Linked DNA regions of Stegostoma tigrinum. The protein of the gene in region 2 purifies or fractionates together with the protein of the main gene of each other region. This does not show direct contact. Links are inferred from orthologs where the notes say so. Each region holds a gene or a part of one and is shown on either strand. Other genes may lie near its edges.

Region 1 (7,819 bases), on a different chromosome or scaffold from region 2:
TAACGGAAAATTATCTTCTAGATTTCAAAAACATCAATTCTTTATAACATAAATAAGTTAGTATAATTTCTCAGTGTCTTTACAAAGTTATGTACACAGGTACATTTTAGATTTTTTTATTCTTTTAAACATACAATACACAGGTATTGTAACTTTGCAGTTTCTAAACTGCATTGGAAAACTACACTGCTACTATTCAAGTCATACATTTTCTAAACTCTGCATTTTAACAGTTTCCCACTTCCTCCCCTTCACCCCACCCACCCCCCAAAAATGATTTATGTGCTACAAAAAAAAACTATGTACACAGGTAGTAAAATCAGCCAAGTGATAAAGGAAGAACCTAATTGCACAGCGCTATATCCACTCTAAAATCAGCGGTTTAGTGTTCACAAGTTCAGTGCCTGGGCTCTCCACACTTGGAGAGATAACGATATGTCTGTCTCTGAGGAGATCGTCCTCGCTTCATCAAGCACTGCCATGGATGAACAAGGGGGAAAAAAAAGGATCTTCATACCTAACAAGGAAAAATACAAAGTAAAAAGATTAATACAATGTTTGGTAATTATGTATCATTGGAATTACTTAAAATGCTATTTGGCATAGCTACACTGATAATTTCAACTCAGCTGCTGATTACAGGGTACAGTTGGCAAAAGGGTTAAGCAATTGGTTATTCAACTGGACACTGAGCCAACTAATACCATTAGTGCTAAGACTTGTGCACAGATATGATCATGTTATTAACATGATATTTCAATATTTGATTTAAAAATCTAGCAACTGGACAAGTTACACTGCCTGGAAGTAATCAAAAAATGCATTTGTCAGCATGGTGGGACTTTAGACACAAGAACCACATTTAACTAGTTGCTATAATTTTCAAATGCACAAATATGTATTACTTGTTATTGAATATAGTTAGCTGTGGTGCATCCAGGCCTTTCCTTTAAAAAGCAAACTGATTTGCTTTGGGCCAGGGGGGAGATATGGTGAGTGTGGCAGCACTACCTGAAAGAAAGTCACCTATATAGGTTTCTTAAAGAGAGAGTTTTTGGATCTGACTAGTTAGACCTACCAACTTAAAGAAATATCACAACTGCACAGGGCAATATATCTGTAGTCTAATTAGGATGTTTTAAAATCTCAGTGCAAACACACCTTGTTCTATCTGAAACTGATACAGAAGACAGTTTAGCATACACAATACTTCACAAAAAGTAGTGGACAATATTTTCAATGCACGACTTTGACTACGAATGTGGACAGAGCCAAGAAATAAGCATCTCCATTAAATTTTAATTTGTTGAGACTAGCTATTTAAAAAGCTAGCTTCCCCACCACACCCCTTGTTTGTATATTAAACCTGAGTGTACACCACATAGTCCCGCCACTCACATTTTACTACAACTTATAAAATCATAGGGGAAATGAGAGAAACGTTAAAATATATGTGCCATGCAGCTATTCTACAACCTTGGACTCAACCGCAAGTGTAATTTTGAATGCTGCTTGTACATCAGCCGGGGAGATAAAGAACAGCTTCCTCCTGTGATCTGTTTTTAATCGTGATTATTTCTTGTTTTATTGTATTAATGTTGGAAGTTGGCGTAAAGGGAAAAAATGCCCAATGTATAAAGCCTACAAAGACACATTACAGTTGTGGTTGCGCACTCCCCCGCGTAATGTACTACGTTTTCGCAGTCAGTCCTGAGACTTTATTGACAAGACTTGTGCAAAGCAATCTACCGTATTGTGGAGGGAAGGAAAGGACACCCAAGATGTTTAACTTGTGCAGAACGCTACAGTGTATCTGGTTATTTGAAAACAGCTGGAAATAATCACCTGTGCATACGTGTCGGTCAGAAAATATAGCAAAGAAACACGAGTGACATTACAACCCTGTGTACGCTTTCAAACCTGGGCCAGTGAGGCCAACCGGTTAATGCAGTATAAAGTCTTGTTGCTACCTTTGTTGTTATATGATATTTTGGGAGGAGACAGTCAATTGAAAAAAGGTACAGAAGAGCTACCTTGTCACTTTTGCTTTATGTTTGATGCCCGCTCGAAATCGATTTCTTCGGCGTCTTCTCTAATGTATTTATATTGGGAGAATTTGCTGACCAGTCTGACTCCGTCGCTGTGTTGGTTCTTTTTGCTTCTGGAAAGCCATCTATAATCAAGAAAAGCTAAATTAAAATTTGTAAAAAAAAATTCAGTATGATAGTATATTATGTGCGTTACTCCTTAATGAAGGTTCGTCGTGCTGATGGGTAGTAGTCAACCACATCTCAAGCTTGTTGAAGGGGGGAGAAAAGCCGTTTGCTTCATCTTTGTAAAAGGCCTTTGAAGTTGCAGTATCCTTTTTCAAACGTAGGGGAACTCATGCTTAACCCCAAACAGACCAAGAACTGCACGATTTTAAAAGCAGGTCCGCGGAAATATGTGAATAAACCACTGGTTGGCAGTGAAAGCTTCTTTTTGCGCGAAAAAAAAGGTCAGAAAGGTCCGTTTGAAAATGGATCCTGCAACTCCCAATAGAGTACATCTTTGTCACTTACCGACTGACGCAGCTCGTTTTCGGGGACTACAGCACTGCTCTTTTGAGTCCGTGAAATGTTCAGTTGTCTCTTTAACCACGTCCTTTTGCTCTGAATTCGCAAAGTGTGTCTCCCCTGAATTTCCCTGAGCCAGAGTTCCTGCGCAAACTATCGCATGGTTCCCGTTCACATCCATACTGCAATCGGCTGATGACACTTGCTCCCTGGGAGAACCCCAGTAAAAATGAGGCACATCCTTGCAATCCACGGCTTCCCATTTGTAATTCCCATCCAGCGGCTTGTCCCTCTCGAAGTCGTAATTCCACCTCCGCCTGTCCTGCTCGCGGATCTCCTTCTGTTTCTTTTGTAACTCTCGGTTCAACTCGTCGTGGTTTACGGGACCGAAAAGATTCCTGCAGGCTGAAGGTTTTGGGTGCCCTCCTTGCTGAGCTGCCATTCTCTCCAGCGAAGGGCTACCATTAGAAATGCGTACGTTTGACATTTTTTTTCCCTTCGTACCCCCTCTCGCTGCAAATCGTCCGAAGCCTCACAGACAGCAGGACTGCAAGGTTACACGATGTAACAATATCGTGCAATTCTTCAGAAAGCTGCAAAGCACAGAACCACAACAAAAACGCCAACAACAGCAGCAGTTTACAACCTATCGCTCGTCAAAACTGATTCCAGTAAGGCGGAAAAAAAACTGGCTTTTTTTTCAGTTACCCAATATGGCGAAGGAGGCTGACGAAGAGGAAACTGAGTGACGGACAGGGAATTTTAAAAAGAGAGCACCCTGCGATTGGCCGGAGTGAAGCTGCTCCGCCCTTGTCCCGCCCTCAAGTGTAGGGCTGGGACTCGGGAACGAGCTTGCTCTAGGCTGGGAGCGACCTTGTAATGATCTAAAAACGTTTTGTTTATTGACAAGCAATCTCTCTCTTCTCTCCCCCTCCCTCCTCGAAGGGAGAGTGAGAGGTAGGCGCCTATGGAGAAGTATTAGCGAAGCGTGAAACCTACTAAAGAGGAGTCAGCTCGTAGCGCCATCAACCCGACAGCCGCAGCAAACACAGCTCTCCCGCAGCAAACGTGAATTCTCCTACATATTGCATCACTTAGATTCATTGAAGTGACTTTATACCGACTATTAGGGACATTAAAAAAAACATATGACAGCGTAGGAGTGCATTTGGTCCATCGTTTCCGTACTAGACGGGTAAACGTCATCCAGCCTCCCTCCCAGCTTCCAACTCTTGGTCCGTAGCCCTGGACGATAGGGCAGCTCATGAGCACATCCAAGTGTTTTGTTTATAAACCAGCTATCCTACACCTCAAAATGCACATTACTAATTGTTAAAATCCTACAAATGCAGCAAACACCTCGCAATAAATGATCGAGAGTAATCAGGCTATTCATGAAAATTGCTCTCGATGAATGCTCAGACATCCCAAAACTGGAGAATTTTCAGTGAGATGAATGATTTCGCTAATGATTGAGCACAGCCGCAGCACGCATGACCAACCGAGTAACTTTACTGGAAAGTGCTCAAGGGGTTAACAGTGTGTCGGTTATATTTTAAAATCTTAACTGGTTTCCTTTTATGCGACGTAAACATGTTTCTTGGCGGAATTTTTTTAACTCCGATCTTGGACTTTCTGCCAATAACCGCTCTCAATTGTGCAGTTTACCACTTTTGTGGATTAATCATCTGAAACTGGCCGGGTGAGTGCAGAATAAAGGCTATGAAACAATAGTAATGTAGTCGAATTCACAAAATACGGGGTTCTCTTTCTATTTTAAAATATTAACGTGGGTGAGAGTTTGTAAATCATATTTTCATTGTAGATACTGTAGTTTAACTGGCAACTCGTGTCTCCCTTCAGCAATACAGCAGGTGACTGCACAGAGTGCTAAAAGGGCGCGTCAGAAATTATGATGTCGTTTTCAAGAATTAAACATAACCGTAAAAACGTCTTGTAGTTGATTTCTCGGCAGTTGTTTGAGAGCCTTCTAGACGCATTCATAGCTGTTACAAGGTGTTATGTTTAGGAGCTACCCAAGACATCCAGGGATCGCTTTTCGAGACTCGATACGTAAAGGCGACTTTTCCTTCACCTCAGTGTATGTAGTATTTGGGAAACGAAATGAAGACTCAGATCTCACTGTAAAACATGTTCTGTGATTGTATTCCAAGAAAACAGTCAATTTTGGTAAACATTAGGACGTCAACAGAACTGAAATGCAGAGGTCGATCTCACTGTTTGCACATTAATTGCGCTGTGTTTACTTATAAATACTGGGCGCAGCAAAGAAAAATATGAACGGTCTTGATTGTAATGAGGTCGCAAGACAAAAGCTAGAAAGTAACTGATTCAGAAAGTATTTTCAGTGTAAATTATCATTGCTTAGAATTGTTTTATTGTGCTTCGCAATCACACCTAGTATATTTTTGAATCACTCTTTTGGGGACACTGCAGGGAAAGGGCAAACGCCGTATTTGTGTTTCTCTCGGATAAACGACGACTCCTTTGGTAAAACCGTGGAGTAATTTGTAATGTGTTTCAAGATGTATCGCCCAAACAAAGCTGACACAAAGTAAATAAATCTCCGATTTACCCAGAGCACATTTTCCAAATGTAGTTACAATCAGTCTTAGTACACTTGAGCATTATATCCCGCCCCATCTTCGGGGGGCGGGGGGGCGGTGGTGGCTTATAATGCATGCGGAATCACCGATTCTTATATAAGACAAACTTCAGAGAGGTTATCTTAACCATTATGAGTTATTCTTATTAGTTAAAGTACAGCATTTACCCCTGTCACTCAATAATCTAATTTGCGCCAAATTCTGTTAAATCCTTGACAGCGAAACGGGAACGGGATAGTGGAATAGGGAAGAATATCAATGGAGCGTCCAACATTCAGTTAGGATTTTGCATATGAATTGCTATGGGCACATATAGCAGTAGTCTCATATTTGATCTAGCCATTGAAGGATTGTTTATCTCTGTAAAGCCATTCAGACAAGGCATCGGATCGTTGCATTTGTTGCACCTCAATAGCTATGCTGAATTTTGCAACCATGTGCATGACAGTTTGTTGCAAGTTCTTAATGATTGTAATATGGGGAGAATAGAATATGAACCCAACCCAAAACAAAAAAAAACAGCTTATATACGTATATAAATAGGAAAGACAAATGTGGGTCCATGACAAACAGATATGGGGTAATTTATAATGGGAATGGGTACAAGAAATTTCCCAGAAATAATAGTTCAAAGAAACTAATGAATTGAAGAACTGAAAAAAAGGTGTGGTTTAAAAAAATGTAGTCCTGCAGAATTACTGGGACTGAAAATTGAATTGCTGGGATCCAATAATCCACAACCTAGAGTATTGAAAGAGGTGGCTTTAGAGAGAGTGGATGCATTTGTTGTCATCTTTCAAGATTCTATTGATTCTGTATAATACTTCCAAATTGTAAACGTTGAAATATAATGTCATTACTTAAGAAAAACAGCAAAGAGAAAATAAGGCACTGCAGGTGTGGTAGCCTGACATCAGTGATAGGAAAAATAGTGGACTCTATAAAATGTATGGTAGCTGATAATCATCCAATTGGTCAGTGTGAACATGGACGTATGAAATGAAAATCATAATGACAAACGTGTTGGAGTTTTTTTTAGTTGGTAGTGGGGAGCTATTGGACTAGTGAATCTTGTGCACTTGGATTCTGAGAAGCTTGTTGGTAAAGTACCACCTAGGATATTAGTGAGGAAAATTAGAGCATGTGGGATAAAGGGCAATATACTAGCATGGATTGAATCTGGTTAACAGAAAGAAACAGATGGGTAAAAGATTAGTGTTTGGGCCCTAGGTGTTCACAATCTATGTCAATGATTTGGAAATGAGGACCAAATGTAATATTTCTAAGTTTGCTGATCGCACATAACTAAGTGGGAATCTAAATTGTGAGGAGGATACAAAGAATGGGAAAAAATATGGCAGATGGAATTTAATATGAATAAGTGTGAGATTATTCACTTGTGATAGGAATAATGAGGTGCATAGTATTTCTTCAGAAATTGAGCAGTGTTTATGCCCAAAGGGGAAAATGGTCCTTGTTCATAAGTCACTGATAGATGACATACAGATGCGGCAAGCAATCAGGAAGGTGAATGGCATGTTGGATTCTATTACAAGAGGATTTGAGTAAACAGTAAAAATGTTTTGTTTCAATTGTATAGAACCTTGGTGAGACCATATCTGAAGTATTGTGTATAATTTGGTCACCTTATCTAAGGAAGGATATACATGCTGTAGAGGGAACTCCAGAGTTTCCCCAGATTAATTCCTGTAATTGAGGACTGATTGAGGAGGCTGGGCCTATGTTCACTAACATTTAGAAATGTACAAATTTTTTAAAGAACTGGACAAGTTGGGTGTGGAACAATATTTCCCCTAGCTGGGAAAGTGGAGGTGTTAGTCTAAAAGAATTTTCTGCCACACAGGGCACTGTTGCATTATGTTCAAGGCATAAGTTAATAGATTTCTAACATCAAGTGTTATGGGGATAGAGTGGAATGATTGGATTGATGTAGATGATCAGCCATGATCAAATTTAGTGGAATGAACCCAAGTGAATGGTCTACTCTTGCTCCAATGTTCCCATACACTAATATTTTGGAACATTGTCGGAGCCTTCAAAAATGTCTCAGATTGGAATATGGGGAAGAAAATTTTGAAAGAGTCCCAAGTAGAGAAGAAAATAAATCAACAGAAAGAAAAGCAGGAAGGGGAAACACAAAGGGTGAGAAATGAACAATGGGGCAACAATCCAGACATAGGAGTGTATTCAAGGGTGAAGAGATGGTGGATATCATGCATTATGTGGCCACCGGTGGGGAGTGCAGTGGTTATTGGATGGGTAGGAAAGTTATTGGAGGGATTTGAAAGAGAATCCAGTTCTTTGCAGCAGTAGGAAGCTACTTGAATTTGGTGGTGTAATGGTAATAAGGCCTTCATGTAGGAGATGGAATAGCTGTAACATTCTCAGTACCTGTGATTTTTAAATGATAGAATTGGGACAGTTATCATTGGAGGAGAGTAGTAATCGACCTATAAATGTATGGAATTGGGTTTTGATGGGAAAGAAAGACAGATGGGTAAAAGGCAGGCATTGTTGTAGAAGTGAAACAAAGGCGGCCTGGTGCGTGCTCGATTGACTATAGGGAAGGAAGCAGTTAAAGCTTGAACAGTACAGCATGAGGTAGCAGCCAAGGAT
Region 2 (7,559 bases):
GCACCTTATACATTTTATTAGAGATACTGCAAAAATACAAGCTATGAACCAAGAGGTCTTGATTTCTTAACCAAGAATTCCTATCAGTCTACACTTTTACAATCTTTTACCCCACCCAGACTTCATATCTTTTACTGCACTCAGATCATCCTTCACCTTTTCCCACATCACCCAGCATCATGCTATGACCAAACAAATTTTCCTTCCCTTTAAAAAAATTCCACATACTGTGAACCAGTGTGCCAGAGGGAACAATCATACTGACAGGTCTGCCCTCAGGATTCAACAATTTTAGACCTGTTCCCTCCTGTTAACTTTCCTGTGGGAGCTGATGATTCTCTTAACCCTATTCCTATCTCACATTCATTCTCTTAAAATGACCTGCCAAGTAGCTCTCACCTGGAGAGCATTTAGTATTTATTACTTGAACCATAGTCAGTCGGTTTCTATGTAGCCAAACTGCACTACTTTTGATTACACCGTATAATTTACTCCCTGCAGTAAAGGGAATCAGTTTTTGCAGTATGCCAAGGAATCACTGCAGTTCATTCTTAACTTCTTCTCCCTTCCTTTGGCTGGATACTAACAATTGGTTTTAATGCCCTTGATCAGTTATCCTTGAATCTGCCTGTAGATCTTCTGACAAGTTATTATCAAAATATAAATTGGACAATGCAACAATCTGGTGATAATTGTGACAGAGGGGAAGATAGATATGTTTGACTTGGATGTGTGTTGTTATGCATTTTGGTTCCCCCAAGAAAGCTCTACCTCATTGTCATTGTGATAGTTGCCTGTAAATTTTGAAGAAAACTTGGAAAGTTCATAATGTTAAACAACAGGTGAAGAACTTACAAAGGATCAAGAGGTTAAAATTTAAAATATCAGAAAACTTACCCGTATTAACAGGCAAAAGACCCAGGTTAAATCTTCTAGGAATAACTTTGATACAGGTTGATCCTTGCAGCTTTGACCAGTGTAATGGACAGATGGTCTGTTGAAATTCAGATAAGCCCATATGTTACAAATTTCTTCCGTACCTTGACTTTAGATGAAGAAAATTACAAGCAGTAAAACTGACCTAATGTCAGCAATACAGCATATAAAGAGGGGGGCTGGTATCAGAATTTCTCCAGATTGACAGTCTTGGCGACTCTAAAGCATCCAATTAAGTGAGAAGAATAATTAATATTCTTCACAATTGAACCACTATGGTACTGGCCAACGAGCATGATTGGACATCATAACTAAAACATGCCAAAGCCCACACTTTCCAGAGGAGGTCACGAGGCAACCACCTACAGCATGAAATAACCAGATTTTCCAGACCCACGGTCCAACAGCCTTTCTGGCCATGACATTCATTGATAGAAGCAGATAATTTCAGAATAGTGATAACACAGGTTGGGTGGAAATAGATAGTCATGCAGTATGTTCATGGCAGGTGCCCAAAACAGCTAGTCTCACCAGACCACTTTTCACGATTTCTCTTCAGAGAAAAAAAACTCTTCTAAAATCTATAACTGAGACTGCCTTCATAACATTCTCAGGCACTGCATTCTAGATTCTAACCACTTGCAGATGAGAAAGATTGCGCTTCATGTCACTTCATGTCCTTAAATCAGTGATTCTTCCAAGATCAGGAACAGTTTCACCCTATCCATGCAATTTAGGCTCATGTGGTACAGTATGGAAAGTATTTGTTGAGGTCAAATCAGTTTTACAAAGGTTCACCATAATTCCCTTGCTTTTGTATGCTTTTACAGCACAGAAGAAACAATTTAGTCAATTATGTTTAAGGAGAGAGAGGAAAGATTTAAAAGGGACCCAACAGACAACTTTTTCACACAATATGTAACAGAATGAGCTGCCATAGGAAGTGGAAGCTTGGAAAAATTACAACATTTAAAAGGCATTTGGATGGGTCTATGAACAGGAAAGGTTTAGAGGCATACAGGCCAAGTAGTGGCAAATGGGACTAGATTAGTTTAGGATAACTGTTCGGCATGGACGAGTTGGACAAAAGGGGGATGGCAATGACGTGGTTGTATTATTGCTGGATTGTTAATCCAGAGACCACACAACATTCTGGGGACCAGAATCCCACCACAGCAGATGGGGGAATTTGAATTCAATAAAATATCTGGAATTAAAACTCTAATGACAACTGTGAATCCATTGTCAATTGTCAGGAAATACCCACCTGGTTCACTAATGTCCTTTAGGGAAGGAAACTACCTTCCTTACCTGGTCTGGCCTACATGCGGCTCTAGACTCAGCAATATGTTAGACTCTGAACTGCCTCTGGGCAATTACGGATAGGCAATAGTGCTGCCAAGCCAGCAACACCCTCATCCCATGAATGTATTAAGAATGAAGATCATGCTGTACATCTCAATCGCTACATCTTTGACAGTTATGAGTCCTCAAGCCCAGTCCCATTTTTAACTATCAAAAGTACTGTGAGCGTACAGATTGTTAAATAAAAACAAAGCGCTGGTGAGATTCAGTGGGTCTGGCACTATCTTTGGAGAAATAAATATTTCAAATGCGATAGGACCCTTCTTCAGTACTGGAATGGTGATGATTTTTCCAATTCTTGGTCCGTAATTCTGTAGTTAATAGCACCACAAATACACAAGTATGTTAAAGGCACAATTCGTTCAGGTATTACGACCCCTTTGGATGCGAAAAGTTACTTACTTCACCTCTAAACCAATTATTTCAAATTTTGTCCGCGGTTAATGATCTCGCTACTCTTATAATAGAAACCGCTCTTAAACCCCCTCAGCCTCATCTAACCAAAGCAGATTGTTGGTCAACTCTACAAAAACAGGAATAAACATCGACACTAACAATTACAGCAGGTGCTACAGCCGTGAGTTTAAAAAAATAGGTTCACGTGTAGCCTTCAGAAGTTAGTCTGACGACCACCCTTCCAACCACTACCACCTCGGGCACGTCCAGGAGGCCCAGATTCAGCCCGGGCCTGAGGTTTGCCACCCCCGACGTACCCCTCGAGCCGGGCGATGGGAGGGGATCTCCCATCGCCCGGGAGGCGGTTTTTATTCCTGGTCCCCACCTGCCGCCGGGGCCAACCTGCAAGCAGCGCGGCGGCGATGACGAAGGGGCTGCTGTAACAGGCCGAGCAGCGCTGGGCTGACACAGAGAGACCAACACTACCCGTTGCCGTGCCCGCTCCCGCCGCAGTTTGAACGCCACTCGCTCGCTCTTCCCCCTCCAACCGCTCCCTCCCTGATTCAAACCCGTAGCCAATCCGCGCCGCCATTTGGATTCAAAGGGGCCAATCAAACCGGGGGAGCTCGCTGAGGTCCTTCGCCCAGCGCTTAGGTGGCCAACGAGAAAGGCGCGAAACGCCGGAGCTCAGCGGTAGCGGTGAATGGGCGGGGCCTGGAGGCGGGGCGGGGCCTGACCGTCAGTCTGCTTCCGACCGTGGGGCGGGGCCCCAGGATGGGCGGAACCTGCGGACGGGGCGGGATTTGACGATGGGGCGGGGCACGTCGATGAGGCGGTGTCTGGGGACGGGGCGATGTTCGATAGTGGGGAGGGGCCCGATGATGGGGCGGGGTCTGACCGTGGGGCGTGGTCCGATAAAGGGCGGGGTCTGACGATGGGGCGGGGCATGTCACCACTGGTAATAAAATGTGAGGCTGGATGAACACAGCAGGCCAAGCAGCATCTCAGGAGCACAAAAGCTGACGTTTCGGGCCTAGACCCTTCATCAGAGAGCTGGGTCACCACTGGGTCTGGAATCAGGCAGGGAACTTTGGAGGCGGTCAGGGACGGCCCGAAACTTGAGCGCAAACTTGGATTGTTTTTCCGGTTGCTGGATTTTTTTGTTTCGCTAAAGGTTTGAGGTGAGCGGGCGGATTTTAAATGGCAGGTTTTGGCACTGTTATTGCCTCCTGCCTTGTAAGATATTGGTTTGCACCCTGGTGGTCAGCATCTCCTGAGGTGGCTCAGGTGACCCGAAGCTCTCTGCATTTGTTGGAGAGGAAGATACTAGTCATTTTTGAACTCACATATTGGCACAGATTAGATTAGATTCCCTACAGTGTGGAAACAGGCCCTTTGGCCCAACAAGTCCACACCGCCCCTTGGAGCATCCCACCCTATAAGCCACACACCCTTGAACACTATGGGCAATTTAGCCTGGCCAATCCACCTAACCTGCACATCTTTGGACTGTTGGAGGAAACCGGAGCATGTGGAGGAAACCCACGCAGACACGGGGAGAATGTGCAAACTCCACACTGACAGTAGCCCGAGGCTGGAATCGAACCTGGTTCCCTGGTGCTGTGAGGCTCAGTGCTAACCACTGAGACACCATTCCGCCCCCAAAATTGGCTTTGGATTTGACTCAGGGGAAGGGTTTTTGGGGGATCCTCTTCTTGACCTGCTGAACTGTTCGTTTCTGGTCACATTTCCCAATGACCTTCAAAAACAGCCAACCTCAGAACCAGCCCAATCACCAAGTTGACATGGAGGGTGGGTAAAATCAGAAGAAATAGGGACTATTTCTGAAGAAGGATCCAGACCCGAAACATCAGCTTTCCTGCTCCTCTGATGCTGCTTGGCCTGCAGAGTTCATCCAGCTCCACACCATGTTATCTCAATTCTCCAGCATTGGCAGTTCCTACTATCTCAGAAATAGGGAGTAGTTGTGGGCCATTCAGCCCCTCAGATGTGTCCCCTCATTCAAACAGATCATGGAATGTCTGATTGTGGCCTCAACTCAATTTTCCTCTTACGCCCTCCTCGTGCCCCACGATCATTCAGATCTGTTCAAACCTTGTTGACAAATTCTTAGCTTCGCTTGAATGGCCCGAAAAGTGAGGTCTTTTTATGACCTTGGAATCCCTACAATGTGTAAGCAGTCTACGTGGCTCATCAAGTCCACACCAATCCCCTGAAGAACATCCCACCCAATCCCTGTAAACCTTGCATTTCCCACACTAATCCACATAGTCTGCACACTACAGGCAATTTAGCATGGCCAATCCATTTATCCTGCACATCTTTGGACTGTGGTTGGAAATCTGTGCAGACACAGGAATAACATACAAAGTCCACACAGTCACTCAAGGGTGGAATTGAAGCCAGGTCCCTGGTGCTGTGATGCAGCGGTACTAACCGCTGAACCACTGTTTTGTCTTTCTAAGGGGCTTAAACTCAGTGTGCCTACATGTCTGTTCCAAGCTGCTTTCAAAAAGACTTTCTGTTTTAAGGTTTTGTTTTCAGTTTTCAGACATGCACGCATATTATACTTGACCAGCGATAGGTATTGGAAAGGAATAAAGGATCAGATGTTTTATTAAAGCCATTTCAAGAATTATCTTATCGATAAACTCAGAACCACCTACCATGGCCAGGTGTTTATGAACAGTTCTGGCTGCACAGTTTTACAACGCACGTTCTTCTTGAGTCATTTCTCATGCAGCCGTCTGATGCTGCTAAAATAAAAAGCTCCCAATTCCCATATGTGCTGGGTACCAGGGAGATTAAAGTTACCCATGATCATTGCCGTCCCTTTATATTACAAACACCCTATATACTTTGTTACACACTGTGCCACCTTTGAGTAACATTGCTAATCATCCATCTTTATCTAACTTGCTTTTGTTTTCGAATATCATATACTTGCAATATTCAGGATCCAATCCTTCTTGTCCTGCAGAGATAATAGGAACTGCAGATGCTGAAGAATCTGAGATAACAAATGTTTCCGTAATGGCCCTCAGATTGTATTTCTTAATTTCACTGTGCACTATCAAGATATTTACTTTATTATAAATGCAGTGCAGATTCTTAAGCAGAGACATTAGTTTTGTTTTTTATTGTCTTTGTGACATTTAGTCTTGATTATTGGAGTATTCCTGGTTTATCTCTCTGACCCTCAATTCCCACATAACTGTTTACCTCTCTTACCCAGTCTCCACTTTCTGACATGCCACATCCAGTGTCTTAGTCCTCACTGTTAAATTTCACAAGAGCATTGGGTCCAGCGCAGTTCTGGATATAGACTGCCCCAAGAGTACAGTCCCCACTTCTCCCAGCTCTTGTGACAGTGGCCTACAAACCAGAACCTATATCCCCCACTCCAATCATTGAGCCATGTATTCACCTCTCTAACTTTATGTCCCCATGCCAATTTGTACACGGCGCAGGTAGTAATCCAGAGATTCAAACCTTTGAGGCTCTGCTTTTTAATTCCGTGCCTGGCTTCTCATACTCCCGGTCCAGAACCCCTTTCCTAACTCTCTCTCTGTTGTTGGTACCTACATGGACCATGACAACTGGATCCTCGCTGTTGTGCTGCAGGTCACTGTCCAGTTTTGAGCAGATAGCCTGAGTCCTGGCACTGGACAGGCAGGATAGACACCTGGACTGTCACTGTTTGCTGCAGAGTGTCAGTCCCTTTCATTGTACGATCCCCTGCTTCCACTATGTTCCCTGTTTTTCTCTTGACTCAAGTGGTTTCCTGTACCACAGTGCCAGAGTCAGTTTTTTTTTTATCCAGCCCGCAACTCCTGTTCTCATCCAAACAGGCTTAGAGAACCCCACAGCTATTGGGCAATTGCACAGACTGGCATTCTGTGCCCTGCATTCCCTTAGCTGCCTGACAAATACAGCCTACTCACCCTGAACACTGACCAAATCAGAAGACTCTATCCTAAGTGGTATGACTGCCTCCTGGTATGGGAAAATCCAGGTAACCTTCCCCCTCAGTCATACATCACAGTGTCTCTAGTTCAGCCTCGTTCATAAGCTCCCCGCTGAAGCTAAGCTCTTACCACAGACACAGTGTAGAAGCAGGCCGTTCAGCCCATCAAGTCTAAACCAACCTTCCAAAAAGCACCCCCTAACCCTGCTAATCCACCTAGCCTAAGCATCCCTGGACACTACAGGCAGTTTAGATTAGATTAGATTCCCTACAGTGTGGAAACAGGCCTTTGGCCCAACAAGTCCACATGACCCCTTGAAGCATCCCACCCAGACCCATCCCCCCATAACCCACACACCCCTGAACACTATGGGCAATTTAGCATGGTCAATCCACCTAGCCTGCACATCTTTGGACTGTGGGAGGAAACCGGAGCACCTGGAGGAAACCCACGCAGACACGGGGAGAACGTGCAAACTCCACACAGACAGTTGCCCGAGGCTGGAATTGAACCCAGGTCCCTGGCGCTGTGAGGCTGCAGTGCTAACCACTGAGCCACCGTGCCGCCCAGCTTGGCCGTTTAGCTTGGCCAGTTGACCTAACCTGCACATCCTTGGACTGTGGGAGGAAACAAGAGCGCCCAGGGGGATCCCATGCAATCACAGGGACAACGTGCAAACTCTATGTAGACAGTTGCCTGGGGCTGGAATTGAACCTGGGTCCCTTGCAGTGTGAGGCTTACCAGTGAGCCACACTCCATGGGCTGCCATGTGCCGCAGACTTCACAAACATCTGAACTACTGCCATAATGAGTTTTGATTATACTGCTCACTTACTTCTATTGCTATCTTTATATTGTATTAACCTTACCACT
Region 3 (8,050 bases), on a different chromosome or scaffold from region 2:
AGTGCTTGGCCCCTACCATTCAGGAAGATGAACAGTAATTCCACTTCCCCCCCAGCTTGACACAGTTGTTTGAGTGAGACTCCGTACCTGTAGCACATAGAGCCACAAATGTCTGTGCATGTTTGCGGATGATCTGCTTGCTGTCCTTGGGTATGGGTAGCTTGTTGAGGAAGTGTTCAATGAAATCGTGGGGGGTCACAGAGGCTAGATCCCACTTCAGCTTGTTGAGCACAAGCAGCTCCATTTGCTGAAACAGAAACATACACATGTGGGCTGTGCCAGTCCTGCAGCAGAGACTGATAGATTGTACTGTACTTTAAACAAATGACTAAAATGGGCTGGGAAGTGCTTCTGTTGAGAATAAATGTATTTTAGATACCACTGGCATATTTGCAAAACGTATTGCTGGAAAATAGATACTTAATATGCTTCCGCATTGTACCAAAGTTAGGAAAAAAATAAAATCACTGTTGTAAATGTTGAGTTTAAACAGAGTCTGTATGTTGTGCGCAACTGTGACCTATGGAATACATTTTTAAAAAAACAAAAGAAATAAACTAATCTGCTCTTGATTTGATATCTAATCGACAGGACGCTGTTCAGAGCAGGGTCCCAGCAGGGTACAGCCGCTGATCTCAAAAGAGGGCGCCACCCCCTCGCAATTGCCTTCCGCCTCAGAAACAAGGGGAGTGGGGCTAAAATATTAAGTTCAGTTCCTCTGCATTTGAGGTCCTGCACGCTCCACTTTATAAAACCCCAGAACTGTTCAGTGTTCAACAACAGAAGTCTGGAACACCGAGAATCTACAAAACAAAAACGAAAAATCCCTCAAGCCCTACTTCTAAAACTCAGTGACAACGTTCGAGATTCCTTTTGCAACAGTTTCTTTTCCGGCTATTGGACTGGGGGAAAGCGGAAATAATTGTCAGCGCACGATGATAAAGAAAATTATTGGGGGTTCCCAAATTGGAGGGGCTTGTGAATGGGATATAGATGCTTGTGTTTTATTTGTGTGTAGGGGGGGGGGGGCGCGTAGGGGATCTGTGAAACATTGCTTCTGATTAACTTGAGGAGCATTAGGAAGAGACTTGCAAATTGAGTATCACTGAATACTCCTTAAATGCGAGAATCTGGTTGAAAGTGTCTGTGTTTGCACAATATCTGGGGGGGGGGGTAGAGCTGGGAAGGAGTTACTGCTGGTGATACATTGGAGGAGGAGATATTCAAGGAAGATTGAGAGAGAGTTCTGAGGACTGAGATTTGAGCTCAGATAGAGGGCATTGGCGTTTTTTTTGGGGGGGCGGACAGGGAAAGAGATTGGCTATTTACCAGTAATTCCTCGGGCCGGATAGAGTTGTCGGTATAAATGCACAATTTTTCCGCTGTTAACGGAATCGTTTCCTTCATTTTTGACGCCAGGAACATGCAAGTAGCTCCCAGTAATTGCAAGTGGGTCTTCTTGGTCAGTTCGATCGACAGGTATCTATCCAAATAATTCATGGCCATCGGAAACACCTCTTCCTCGCATTTCTGCTCCTCGCAAACCTACAGAAGGGGCAACACCACAAAGTGGAAAATTACCTGGAGGGTGCCGGGGGGGGTTATTCCACACACCCGTAACCCCCCCAAAAAAATTCTCACCCTCCATCATTTCTCCTTCTCACCCTTTTCTCAGACCCAGGAATTTGGACTGAGTTGGACAGACAGACAGACTCCCCTCCTCCTGTCTCTCTCCCTCTTTCCCAAACCCGGCTTGAATTTTCGCGTCGTCATCTTTTCAAAAAATATTTAAAAATATTTAAAAATTAGCCCGGGCGCCCAAAAGGGGACGAAAATCCAGCGCAACCGGCGCTCTTTCTAACTGGCCAATGCTGGGGGCATTTTCAGGTGGTTAAACTTGCCAAAGGGAGTGAAATGAGAGTCCCCCCGGGGGTAACGCTGCAATCTGCGCCCCGATCATAAACCAGCCGCTGCGCTCCTTCAAAAAATGATTAAAAATACTCATCGAGGGCGGAACAGCACGGAAACAGCACGAAAATGTGCAGCGGGCTCTCAACTTTGTACCGGGCGCCTTCTCCAGCCCTCTGACCCCACTTTTGCCCATGAATTTGAGACCTTTCTCCCCGAGAGGGGTCAGATACACAGGGTCTGGGAAGTTTTGGCTGAGACCCTGACTTTGGAGGAAATCTCTGTCAGTTTCACACCCGGAAATTCAGCAACATTCCCCCCGCAACCCTGGGCTTGCCACCCTCCCAAAGAGGTAAAAAGCACCCCCCCCATCCTTGCCCAGACCCAGTGAGGCGTTTGGAAGGGGAGGGGGTTCTCGAGTTATTCTGAACAAAGATGGCGTTGAATACTGGCACGCATTGAGCTGCATACGTGTACAACCTCATTTTGGGGTTAAAATTCATTTCTGAGCCCCAGGAGCTGGGGCCGAGGGACAGAGAGAGGGGTAGATGGGCTGGGTGACTGGGATACGGCATTGAGAGCGTTTTCTCCTTTTCCATAGCAGCCTCCCCCCATCGACCGGCCCTTCCAATACATCACCTCACCTTACTGCCCCGTAACCAGCTCATGGTCAGGGGTGAGTGTGGGTCTGTTTGTGGGCACACAGCAAAGGGTGTGGGAGGGAGGTGTTTAGAGGACAAGAGGGAGAGAGAGCGGTAAGAGGAACTGCATTTAAAACATTACATCAGTAACCCCACTCAGATGGAAAGCAAGGAAAGCGGGATGGCTGGGATGCGGGGCGGGGGTGGAATTTACAGGGGTCTCTATGACAAATTCAACAGTTGTGCCGCCAGCTTGCAAGTTTAAAAAAAATCTGGGCAGAATCGGGCTGCACTGACGTCCTGCAAAGCACAAATGTCAGGTCCTGCACATCGTTCGATACCCAGAGTATAACTACAAGAGAGAGAGAGAGAGAGAGATATCTAGGTTCTGTATAAGATTCTGTGCACAAACCTCCAGCATCCAAGTCGCAACAATCTTCCTCATGGAAGGCGCAATGTCTTTTTGGACGCACTTGAAATAGCTGAGAGAGGGCAGGCTGTTCTCTTCGCTTCTGAGCATAGTCTGCAGGACACGATCATTGATGAGATTGGGATCGTTATAAGCTCTTCTGATAGCCTCTCCTTCGCAACATAGCAGCTGATGTTCCATTGCTAGGGCGCTCTGCTCTGCTCTCTCTCTCTCTCTCACCCCTTTCCTTCCTTTCTTTCTCTCTCTCCTTATTGCATTGACTAAAGCAAGGGATGCTGCTGCCTCTGGAGGCTCTAGTTCAGGGGAAAAAAAACTTTAACTATAACTTGCCCGCGAGTGACGCAATCGGCTTTGAGTTGTTATGTAGAGCAGCTGCGGCTGGGAAGATCAAAGGAGGAACGAGAGAGGCCAACCCGGGGGGTGGGGGTGTGTGTGTGTGTGTGTGTCTGTGTGGGTTGGGAAGGGCAACGGAGCTGATAAAGCCGCCCCCATTCCGAAGCAAGATCCACTCAAATTCAACCTTATTGCGGCGACGGGGGCTTATTTTGAAACTTTTGTGTGTGTGTCTAGGAGCCGGACATGTTCCCAGATCTGTGTGCAACATTGCACACTTACATATTTGCAAAAATTAAACCTCAGTCCTTGCATTCAGTGGGAACTTGTACTCAGCTGTCAGTCATCCCACGATTGACTGACAGTTCAGTGAAAGTCGCGAGCATTGGGTACAATGGGAGCAGAATTAATGTTAAAAATAAGATTTATTCTACACTGAAAACCTCTAGGTCCGTGCAAAGCAGCCGCGCACGCATATATCTGAGGAAGCGATTACTGTGCCCACTGGGATAAAACATGCATTTTGGTGCATTATGATCATTTGCATTTGTGCAAAATTCCGACCCCATGGTTATTAATTTTTCACTGCTGCTACGACAGCTTCGCAATCCAGGGGTCAGCCTAGTCTATCCCCAACGCTTCCTGCTTTGCATGTGCTCCTCTTCCCGGCTTCTTTATTTCTGCGTGTTTTTTAAAAAAAACAAAAACTCTCTCTTCACTTGAAAAAGATTTTTTTTCTCTCTCCGGAATCGGGGTGGAGGGGAGGGATGAAGTTCAGTTGGCAAAACTTGCTCGGTCTGTCAGAGGAAACCCCTTACGCCGGTAGAAATAAGAGGCGAAGGTATTAGCATAGCCAATGGCGGAAAAGATTGTTACTAGGCAGATCAACGAGCCCGGAGCCTCAGCGATCATCGATCACTCAGGCATCCAGCGCCGTCTCTTTTGTTCGAAGGAATGTGGGCGCTCACAATGGAGTTTGATCGGGGGGGCGGGGGGCCGGGCGTGCGGCTTGAAAAATCGGGATCACCTTGATGTAAATGTGTTGCATTGTTTTAAACACACACTGTACTGAATCACAGTTCCTTTCTGTTTTACAGAATTGCAAAACTTTTCAATCAAGCCCTTTGTAACCTTTGCTTTAATGGTGATTCAGAGATAAGATCGTCTTATTTTTAATTCATTGTGGCTGGCCTGTTATTTTCTCTTTCTAATCGCTCCTATAATTTTATTGAATGGTGAGAAAGATTACCCCCTCCCCTCCCTTTCTCCGTCTCTTAGAGTCTTATTTCTTTTCCCCTTTCTCTCTCTCTCTCTCTCGCTGTGAATTTTGTCGCATGATCATTAATGGAAGCCGGGACATTCCTGAGATTCCAAGTTGCTCCTACATTAACAGCTCCACATGCTCCGCTTGCATCTAATTACCGTAATACAGCTAAGCTATTGTTCCGAACAGAGGAAGCTTTTGCCGAGCAACTCAGATCATTTGTCAAAACGGATGTGAGGAGGGATCTGTGCATTTCACTTAAAATATACACACACACCACCACGCACAGAAACGACGCTACTGATTGCCTGAAGATTTCGCCTCGCAGTCCTGCAATGACCCCCCCATTCCCGAAAAACACCGCTCCCAAACATTCCTGTGTGTCAGCATTTGTAGCAAATAAAATTATAATCCTATTATTAGGATCTATTTTTAAAGAGTGAGAAAAAATAACAAAACAAAGGGCTGGACCGGGCTAGGGCGTGGGGTACTGTTTTATTGCAGAGGAGGGCTTGGGAACGGAACGCTGAGGTAACATCTCTCCAACTCTGCCCCTCACTCGCCGCCAGTGCGAGAGCAAATTCAGCGCAGAGCGGGCGGAGGGTCGGAAGTCACGTTTTGTAGACTTTCACTTCCCGGCGCGATGATGCTGTGTATTGTGAAATTCTGCCTTTTGGGGCAGGGGGAGCTTCTTTATTTTAAAATAAAATAGTAGCGGTGGAAATGAGAGCGTGGGTTTACTTTCAGGCTCACATCTAAACGGTGGCCGCGGTCTGGCCTGTGACTCTTAATATCGAAACTAATTTTCACTGAAAACTGGAACGCAATTCCATTTTCAAAGAGGAGGCGGTGACCCATTCCGATCGCCATGAGAAAGTTCAGAGAAATTAACAAAAATACACAGAAACAAGTTGCTGATTGAACTTCTAAAAAAAATCTCCATTAAGCGCTCCACACACAAAATAAAATAAAAATGTTGCCGATAATATCGCTGTAAACCTTCCTGGCGTGTTTTTATTCAACCCGGATTTTCGCTGACACTCGAAAGCGTGTCAGCACAGAGTGTGGATGGCGGCGCTTACACAGGTTAGTACGGTAGGTGTGTTAACTGGACAGGTAACCCAGTGCTGTTCCAGGTAGGCGGAAAATGACTGAGGCAGCGATAAGCGTCACGACAAGTTTGTAGGCAAAGATGAAAGATTAATATGGATTGTTTCGGTATCTAATCTCCAGAACTAAACTAGCCGCTATTACTGGCAAAAGGCTATATATGTATAAAATCTCACGCCTTTCAACACGCTGCTGTTTGATTTACTGATTTCATTTACGAAGAGTTTTTTTTAAATATTGACGATGGCAGATTTTCGGAAGAAGGGTCCAGACCCGAAACGTCAGCTTTCCTGCTCCTCTGATGCTGCTTGGCCTGCTGTGTTCATCCAGCTCTACACCTTGTTATCTCAGATTCTCCAGCATCGGCAGTTCCTGCCATCTCTGCAGGTTAACCCAGTTGTCATTTTGGAAGAAAATGCCAGAGCAACTCAGCGAGTCTGGCAGCATCTGTGGAGAGAGAAACACTTTAACGCCTCTGGATCAGCGATCATTCTTCAGAACTTGCCTCATATTAATTTCCACCAAAACGGAAAGCCTCGCTGCTCAGTTGCATGTTTTCTTTGTTCTTTCATAGGATTATAGGCATTACTGGCAAGGGCAGTGTCTATTGGCCGTCTCTAATTGCCCTCAAACTCAGTAGTTTAGAAACATAGAAAATAGGAACGGTAGAAGGCTATTCAGCCCTTCTAAGCTGCCACCCCATTCCATATGATCTTGCTGATCATCCAACTCAGTTTCTGTTTTCTCTCCGTATTCTTTGACCCCTTTAGTCTTAGCAACTATATCTACCTGCTTGACAAAATTCGATGTTTTGGCCTGAACGGCTTTCTGTGGCAGAGAATTCCACAGGCTCCCCACTCTTTGGATGAAGACATTTATCCTCTTGTCAATCCTAAATGGCCAGCACTGTATCTTGAGATTGTGAGCCCTGGTTCTGGACTCCCCAGCTATCGAGAATATTCTTCATGCATCTACCATGGTTAGTTCTTCTGGAAATTTATAGATTTCTGTGACATTCTTCCTCATTATTCTAAACTCCTGTGAATATAGTCCAAACTGATCCTGTCTCTCTTCATAAACCACTCCTTTCATCCCAAGAATCAGTCTGGTAGACCTTCACTGTGCTCCCTCCACAGCCAGAACGTCCTTCCACAGGTAAGGAGAGCAAAACTGCACAAAATATTCCTGATGTGGTCTCATCAAGGCCCTGTACCATTGCAGAAAAACATCCCTGTTGTTTTTTTTGGCAATTGAGTGACATTTATGAACAAAATTATTTATCTTTCTTGCTTACGTAAAACCAAATGTGGCAATGGTAAGAGTTCTTAAAACTGTACCCCCCCCCCATATCATTGTGTCACACCTCTACACACAATTGGTCACCTGGCTATAGGAAGGATATTATTAAATTGGAGAGTGTTCAGTAAAGATTTACCAGGATGTTGTTGAGAGTGGTTAGTCTGAGCTACAAAAATAGGCTGGATAGGTTGGGACTCATTTCATTGGAGCGTAGGAGGTTGAGGAGTGACTTTAAGATAATAAAGTGTGGGGCTGGATGAACACAGCAGGCCAAGCAGCATCTCAGGAGCACAAAAGCTGACGTTTCGGGCCTAGACCCTTTATCAGAGACGGGGATGGGGAGAGAGGGGGAGGTGGACCGAAGATGGAGAAAAAAGAAGATAGGTAGAGAGGAGAGTATAGGTGGGGAGGTAGGGAGGGGGTAGGTCAGGCCAGGGAAGACGGACAGGTCAAGGAGGTGGGATGAGGTTGGTAGGTAGGAAATGGAGGCACGGCTTGAGGTGGGAGGAAGGGATGGGTGAGGAAGAACAGGTTAGGGAGGCAGAGACAGGTTGGACTGGATTTGTGATGCAGTGGGGGGAGGGGAAGAGCTGGGCTGGTTTTGTGATGCAGTGGGGGGAGGGGAAGAACTGGGCTGGTTTTGGGATGCGGTAGGGGAAGGGGAGATTTTGAAGCTTGTGAAGTCCACATTGATACCATTGGCCTGCAGGGTTCCCAAGCGGAATATGAGTTGCAACTCATATTCCGCTTAGGAACCCTGCAGCCCAATGGTATCAATGTGGACTTCACAAGCTTCAAAATCTCCCCTTCCCCTACCGCATCCCAAACCCAGCCCAGTCTGTCCCCTCCCCCCACTGCATCACATAACCAGCCCAGCTCATCCCCTCCACCCACTGCATCCCAAAACCAGCCCAGCCTGTCTTCGCTCCCTAACCTGTTCTTCCTCTCACCCATCCCTTCCTCCCACCTCAAGCTGCACCTCCATTTCCTACCTACTAACCTCATCCCACCTCCTTGACCTATCCATCTTCCCTGGACTGACCTATCCCCTCCCTACCTCCCCAC

Evidence for each region.
Region 1: the proteins of cdk1 (region 2) and cdkn1bb purify together in Homo sapiens (affinity purification with mass spectrometry; 8 studies listed by BioGRID and IntAct, counting the BioPlex papers as one, with this or other methods). This does not show direct contact. The link is inferred for Stegostoma tigrinum from reciprocal best matches to the Homo sapiens genes CDK1 and CDKN1B.
Region 3: the proteins of cdk1 (region 2) and ccnd1 purify together in Homo sapiens (affinity purification with mass spectrometry; 4 studies listed by BioGRID and IntAct, counting the BioPlex papers as one, with this or other methods). This does not show direct contact. The link is inferred for Stegostoma tigrinum from reciprocal best matches to the Homo sapiens genes CDK1 and CCND1.

Annotation. Positions count from the first base shown.
Region 1 is NC_081371.1:28,400,338-28,408,156, reverse strand, and holds the start of cdkn1bb (cyclin dependent kinase inhibitor 1Bb), read right to left. Parts: upstream 3,380-7,819; 5' UTR 3,043-3,379; coding exon 2,562-3,042; intron 2,174-2,561; coding exon 2,049-2,173; 3' UTR 2,034-2,048; intron 518-2,033; 3' UTR 1-517. UniProt on the Homo sapiens protein: Important regulator of cell cycle progression. Inhibits the kinase activity of CDK2 bound to cyclin A, but has little inhibitory activity on CDK2 bound to SPDYA. Involved in G1 arrest. Potent inhibitor of cyclin E- and cyclin A-CDK2 complexes.
Region 2 is NC_081373.1:51,575,547-51,583,105, reverse strand, and holds the start of cdk1 (cyclin-dependent kinase 1), read right to left. Parts: upstream 3,340-7,559; 5' UTR 3,315-3,339; intron 3,236-3,314; exon of another isoform or gene 3,083-3,235; intron 3,039-3,082; exon of another isoform or gene 3,015-3,038; intron 2,978-3,014; exon of another isoform or gene 2,857-2,977; intron 995-2,856; 5' UTR 898-994; intron 1-897. UniProt on the Homo sapiens protein: Plays a key role in the control of the eukaryotic cell cycle by modulating the centrosome cycle as well as mitotic onset; promotes G2-M transition via association with multiple interphase cyclins.
Region 3 is NC_081370.1:61,635,467-61,643,516, reverse strand, and holds the start of ccnd1 (G1/S-specific cyclin-D1), read right to left. Parts: upstream 3,380-8,050; 5' UTR 3,160-3,379; coding exon 2,962-3,159; intron 1,546-2,961; coding exon 1,330-1,545; intron 248-1,329; coding exon 88-247; intron 1-87. UniProt on the Homo sapiens protein: Regulatory component of the cyclin D1-CDK4 (DC) complex that phosphorylates and inhibits members of the retinoblastoma (RB) protein family including RB1 and regulates the cell-cycle during G(1)/S transition.